Danio rerio: one gene and its partner. The protein of the gene in region 2 purifies or fractionates together with the protein of the main gene of each other region. This does not show direct contact. Links are inferred from orthologs where the notes say so. Each region holds a gene or a part of one and is shown on either strand. Other genes may lie near its edges.

Evidence for each region. The genes of interacting proteins can lie anywhere in the genome.
Region 1: the proteins of eif3s6ip (region 2) and eif3ba purify together in Homo sapiens (affinity purification with mass spectrometry; 8 studies listed by BioGRID and IntAct, counting the BioPlex papers as one, with this or other methods). This does not show direct contact. The link is inferred for Danio rerio from reciprocal best matches to the Homo sapiens genes EIF3L and EIF3B.

What each region holds. Positions count from the first base shown.
Region 1 is NC_133178.1:40,718,294-40,722,524, forward strand, and holds the start of eif3ba (eukaryotic translation initiation factor 3, subunit Ba), read left to right. Parts: upstream 1-1,391; 5' UTR 1,392-1,521; coding exon 1,522-1,624; intron 1,625-2,010; coding exon 2,011-2,203; intron 2,204-3,262; coding exon 3,263-3,382; intron 3,383-4,231.
Region 2 is NC_133188.1:46,821,911-46,824,780, forward strand, and holds part of eif3s6ip (eukaryotic translation initiation factor 3 subunit L), read right to left. Parts: intron 2,180-2,870; coding exon 2,046-2,179; intron 724-2,045; coding exon 550-723; intron 1-549. UniProt on the Homo sapiens protein: Component of the eukaryotic translation initiation factor 3 (eIF-3) complex, which is required for several steps in the initiation of protein synthesis.

The DNA.
Region 1 (4,231 bases), on a different chromosome or scaffold from region 2:
TAAGAGCTGAAGCAATTGTTGATGAGAGATGAGCGATGCGCAGCACACAAACAGCATGGGAAGTAGTAGTGGTTTTATCAAATTATGTACATTTAGGGTTCTGTTTTAAATAGGTTCTGTTTGGTCCTATGAAACACTATTTAAACACTATTGAAGGTGTATGATGGTGATTCATGTCATAAGCATGGCAGGTCCATGAGAGTAAAATTGTGGATTTCTCTGGGTTTGAACATTCTTCAAAACATTTGGTATACTGCAAGTACAAAAGTCAAAAAGGTGGTACTGGACATTTCATTTATAGCACATTATTTTCTTCATTCTCTGTTTTCACCTGGGGATTCTTATCCCGAGGCGCCTAGATATTTTGCAGCACCATTAATGCGATCCTAGAAATGATGCCAAGGTCTTTATAATCCTGGACCAGGCCGAATCCTGAGCTGACGCTGCGGCAGTCATAGAGAGCAAAAGACTGATTCCTGAAAGACCCCAGTGACAGAAGAGCCTTCACATTGGTCCTGTGGGTTAGCCTAAGCACCCGCCGGTGACCTACTCACACCTGCAGTTCTACATAATGGACGTTCAGCATTCTCCAGCATCTGGCGCCTAGACTGCAGCTCTGCACAGGAAGTTTGGCCATGGTCATGCCCAATTGAGCCTAGTTTCTTTCAAGGTTTTTTTTTCTTCACTTTCATCAATTGGTAAAGTTTTTTTTCTTGCCACTGGCTTGCTTGGCTTGGGACATTTGCTCTTCAGTGTTTGGACTTTCAACAGTGAAATTTAAACCACACTGAACTGAAATAAATTGAACCTCAACTCTGAAAACTGGATTTAGAGTTTCAATCTACTAAAACTTCTATCTAGGTAAAGCTGCTTTGACACTGTCTACGTTGTAAAAGAGCTAAAGAAAAAGACATGAATTTAATTTTAATAGAAAAATTGTACATATTGTGCCTTTAAGTTTGCATATTTTATAATAGTATAGAAATGTTTTGATTGTTATTAACTTAGTGTTATTGTCTATCTATCTATCTATCTATCTGTCTGTCTGTCTGTCTGTCTGTCTGTCTGTCTGTCTGTCTGTCGCCAGAGATGGACAATAGAACTGATGGTAACATTGCGCGCTCTTGTACGGGAGGTTCTTGTCACATGAACAGGAAGTTCAGAGAGCGATAAGCAGAAGACGAGACCAAGTTCACTTAAAAGGGGTCTGCCATGTCATATTCCACAACAAAACTACACATTGTATACAATTTAACCAAATATCATAAAAGTGTTAAGCTCACATAATCTGCCAATGAAGCAAATTTTTATCCTTTTCCTTCAATTATGCTGTACATGAATCCTAACGCTCCAACAGAGCCCTGAGGTGCTCTCCGCGCACATGGTACGGTCCTTCTCTCGCTCGCAGTGGTTGGCGCCGGCTGCTTTGCACATGGCCGAGTGAGTAAAATATCTGGATTACTGCTGTGAAATTCACCACCACCTTCTAACCAGCACAGACCCACAGCAACCGATCTCTAAATGCGAGATACGGAGAACATGGAGGCCGAAATGGAGTATGACGATGAAGAAGAGCCTTCGTTCAGTGATCCGGAGGACTTCGACGATGACATCAGTGATCAGGGTGAGAGAGAGGCCTGCTTTAGCGCGCCTGCCGATCCCAGTCTCACACTAAACCCCATAGCTCAGCATGTCAGCCACGAGCTAACACAAAAATCCTTTGGTTTATTTGTGTGTCAATCTTTCAAGCTGATAAACTACGCTGTTTCACAGTTAATGCCGTTTTATGTTAGTCAAAGCTTCTCTTTAAGTCCAGCATGTGCGCGAACTAGACAAAAGCATCTTAGCAGTAGCTTTAGGGAAATAGACTAACGTTAGTGTCGTAACAGCATAGAGTCAGCAGCTGTTATGCTTTTGGCTTCAGAAACGTCATTGTACTGCCGTTTTGCTTTAACAAATGCTGTTGTGCTAACTGTACTAACTCTATCTGTGTGTTTTCTGGTCATTCAGAGCTGCTGGGGGATGTTCTCAGGGACAAACCGCAGGAGGCTGACGGCATCGACTCAGTCATCGTGGTTGATAATGTGCCTCAGGTCGGACCTGATCGCCTGGAAAAGCTCAAGAACGTCATTCACAAGATCTTCTCAAAGTTTGGCAAAATCACCAATGAGTTCTACCCTGACGCAGATGGAAAGACCAAGGGGTATGTTTGGGTCTGCTTGGTGCGTTTTGGGATGTAGGGATGCACCATTGGTGACATTTAATCAATAATTGATGCAATACGTAAGGGTAGTTCACCCAAGCATCAACATTTAGTCACTGTGAAGTTGGTTCTAAATGCTTGTTTTTATTTTTTCTAAAATTGTTTGGACGAATGTTGGAAACTAACCAATGATATCCGTAGTATGAACGTTTTTATGGGATTCTATGGCTTGCTGGTTCCAACATTCCTCAAGACATTTTCTTCTCTGGTGCTCGAGTAAATTACAGCATTTTCATATTGCTTGAACTATCTCTTAAATTCATTAGACACTTTATTATAAAAGAAAACAAATATTTAAGTAATCTGTCAAATGCCATTAAAACTAACTAAAAACCAATAATGTTTATTAGCAAAACACAAACTGCATTTGCAGAAAACTGTAACATTGCACAAATATAACTTATCTTTCTTCATATCTTATTATCTTCATATTGAAATCTGCAAGTAATTAACTGCTATTGGGCATCTCGATAAATGGTCTTAATGTGCTTCTTTTTTTTTTTTTAAACATATGCTTTCAAGTCTTTCTTGTAAATTTGGAAGTTCTCAGATAACAATTATTTTAATTTGACGTTACAAGTACTACTGTGTGTGACTAAAAGGCTTAAATGTATTGGTGGTTTAACCATTACAGAAAAAAAGAGGGCAGCTGTGGCACAAACCTTACATTTTTTTTATGGTCTAATAAAATGAGTTGAGCACAAACTATCTGTATTAGTTTTTAGGTTTCTGTTAAGGTTTTAAAGTGTATATGTGTACTAGTTATTAATGGCATGTTTGCAATGTTGTATATATTTTCTATGGATTATAGGACGTATTGACAGATCGCACTATTATGTCTTCTTTTTCATTCTTTTAAAACCTATTTATTCTTTGTTGATTTTATTTTCTTATACTTTTATTCCTGTTTATGTAAAACACTTTGAATAACCACTGAGTATAAAATGTGCTATAGATATAAACTTGTCTATAATAATTTTCCATGCTTTATCATTACAGGTACATTTTCCTAGAGTATTCTGCACCAAGTCACGCTCATGAAGCGGTAAAAAACGCTGATGGCTACAAGCTGGACAAGCAGCACACCTTCCGTGTCAATCTGTTCACTGACTTTGACAAGTAAGTTATCTTTTAGGGTCTGCAGTAGTGTACTGCAATAGGTTGCTTTAATGAAAGAACCTTTACAGTGTTGTATAATTTATACTCAGTATTGTCTATCATTTCCAGAATGCATTTTGGCAAGCTGTTTCTAATGCCTCAAACTTCATTTAGGGCAGATCAGTTCGTCTCTCAATTTAGCTTGAAATATATCAGGGCTGTGCAGATGCTGATATCAGTATTAAAAAAATCTATTAATATTTAATAGATTAATATTAAAATGTAATTTTTTGATACCTTTTGGGATATTTCACCCCAATTGTCGCCTTTCTTTTGCTTTAAGCAAATATTTCAGCTTCTTTCTTCTGATGAACAAAAATGAAGATATATTGCAAAAAGCTGAAAACTGGTAGTCATTGACTTGTATTTTTGTTTCACTATGGAAGGCATTGGCTACCATTATCCAACATTTTTAAAATATATTTTATGTTCGAAAAATAAACTCCTGTAGAGTTGGAACCACATGAGGGAGAGTAAATGGTGAGAATTTATGTTATTTTTGGGTGAACTTTCCTTTTAAATAAAGCATACTACTTGGACTGCATGATGTTGGAAATAACTGACGCTACAATGTTAGATTCTATGTTTATTGCAATATGAAAACAATTTGACAGGATATCTTTATTTAGAAAAGAATGTTTTATTTTTGAATGACTGGGGTGATTTTGCAGAGGAGTAACTCTGCATATAAATAATATCAAATTACAAATCATAAATTAATGGAATAAAACAAAGACCGAAGTAAAAGAAACATTGCTTGTTTTCTGGGCAGTCTTGACAGTATTCAGGGACAGAGCATAATCCAATTTA
Region 2 (2,870 bases):
CAGCAACTACTGAGGCGGGGATAAAGAAAGCAAGGCCCCATCTTTATTGATTAGTAAAATTTAGATAAACAAACAATGCATAATAAAAAAAATATGATTTATTACACATGTCTGCAATACATATACTCAAATACCACAATGATTTTGTCATAACGAGCAATAACGATAATTTTGAGATATATTGTGCAGCCTTAATATCTATCACTAAAAATCAATTGTTTTGCCAACAAAAATAGTAGCGGAAAGAAAAAAGTAGCATAAATTACAGAAGAGAATGTCATTCATTCATCCATAACTGGCCAAAAAATAGTGCAAAAATACTCAAAATTATTACTTTGTTAAATTTAAAAAAATCCCTAAACATAGATTACATTTTTTACCACACAACCAAAAATAGGAAAATATAATTCAATAACATAAGAAAAAACCTAAATTTAACATTCAAGTATTACAATATCCACAGTGTCCTTATGAATATCTGATAATGCCTTGCTGGGAGAAAAACACTGATTAGATTGTTCCTCAGAAGACGTCAGAGAACTGCTGTACCTGCGGATGGTGGAGAGCTGCGCCTGCTGCTGGACCTCCTCTGCAAACACCTTTAGCTGCTGCTGGAATGGCTCTTTGTGGTAATTTGGATGAACGTTTTCATAGTTTGGAACTACCGGCGACAGGAACTTGGGGCAGGCAAAACTGAACAACTCCTCGAACACCTGCAGATCTCTGAGTGACAAAAGAAAAAGAAATCGGAATAATTGCATAATTGCACAAAACACTTGCAAACAATTGCAATGGTTTTAGCAATGTGTCATCTCTCAAAGCAGCAGACCACACAAGAAACAACCACCACTGGCTTTGTTTCCATCAGCCTGTGTTAATACACATTTTGAAGCATCTCATGGTAAACAAGTGATGGAAATGCCAATTTTCATACAGAAATGCCGTAATTCAAAAAAAAAAAAAAAAAAAAAAAAAAAAAAAAAAATTGTATGTTTGCTCTGTTTTAGCCTTGAAAAGTATGAAAACACAATTGTCAAATAAACATACATACTGATGAAAATACAAATAATATACCATTAAAAAATAAAAATAATAATACAGTATTAATAATCAAAACAAAAAAAAAATTACTAAATTAAACAAAAAATAAGTTAAAAAATGAATTAAATTACAATGACACAAACTAATAACCACAAGGAAAGCAGCTAAAATCAAGGATCTTCTTTAAATACATCTGTTTATTTCAGGAATCTTACTTTTTTATTCTTAATAAGATAAGGTAATTTAGGAAGGGAGTTAAATTCTATTCTAAAATGAGCAAAGGATGGGTAATTATTTGCAAATTTCTTTATGCGAATAAAACAGGAGACATTACATTCCATGTAACCAATCAGCTGTCTCCATTATGCTTGCATTGTTTACTGGTTACTAGGTTACCAATAGTACTTTTATTTGTGAACTTTGGAAAGATTTGCTTCACATTAAAATGGAAAGTGAAGTCTTTATGTTTGTTCTTTATGCTTGTGAACACAATTCCAGGAGGAAATTATCCAGGCAAAATCACTTTGGTGATGAACATTTTCTCAGATTTCCCTTAAAGAATCCCTTAAGTCAGGGGTGTCCAAACTCGTTCCTGGAGGGCCAGTGTCCTGCTAAGTTTAGCTCCAACTTGCTGCATCACACCTGCAAGGAAGTTTCTAGTATATCTAATAAGAGCTTGATTAGCTGGTTCAGGTTTGTTTGATCAGGGTTGGAGCTGAACTCTCCAGGACACCGGCCCTCCAGGACTGAGTGTGGACACCCCTGACTTAAAGGATAATGTTATAGTGAAGACTGGAATAATGATGCTAATAAAAAGAGCTTTAAATTAAAGAAATAACATTTTTTAAATATTCACAAAACCATTACTTATTTTAACTTGTAATACAACTTCAAATTATTGCATTCTTCACTGCACTCTACCAAATAAATGCAGGAGAAACATCTATATTCACAGTCACTACTGTGGTGTGTATTGTGTGCGTGCATGTGTGTGTCTCTCTCACCCTTTCTGCATGCGCAGCATCTTGTCGCCGTATTTCTCGCGCAGTTGTGTGTGAATGCTCTCATCGATGCGCATCGGGTACATGGTGAGAGCGATGGCCAGCAGCCCGTGCATCTGTTCATTCTGTTTATTAATCTGAACAGCAGAAACCAGCATTCAGTAAAACACCACAGCACTGAACAACACAATGAAACTTTTTCAATCTTCAGCTACAGCATATGAGGCACAGGATTGTTTGGATGCGTTTAAAGGAATAGTTCACAAAAAAATAAAACATTTAAAATTTTTATTTACTGGCCCTCAAATGATTCCAAACCTTTATAAGTTTATTTATTCTGTTGAACAAAAACATTAAAAGATATTTTGAAGAATGGTGGAAACCTTTAAAACAAATAACATTAAATTTAGTAGTTACAGATTTCCAGCTTTCTTTAGAATATTTACTTGTGTTCAACAGAAGAAATGTCCTTACTATAGACCTTTTTCATGGCTGCTGCATGGAGGGCACCATAGCGACCAGCGTCTTCCTGTAGAATGCTAAAAACTTCCGTTTACAGCATTTACAACTGGTTATTTACACTCCGAAAATGGGTTTCAATAACGTTTGTAATGGATAACAGAGTGTTTTTGTGACACACAACTTAGAAATGTGTCTGTTAAAGCCGTTATAATCTGTCACATGTGGTTCAAGCGCGTCAGAAATACGAGAAAAACGTTCTCCTAGTTCACGTGTCTGCCGTCAGAAATACAGCGTTTATGCTGACAGCCTGTCAGCTGCTAGCTCAGCGGCTCTTTAACATACACACACAAACAGAGAGAGAGAGAA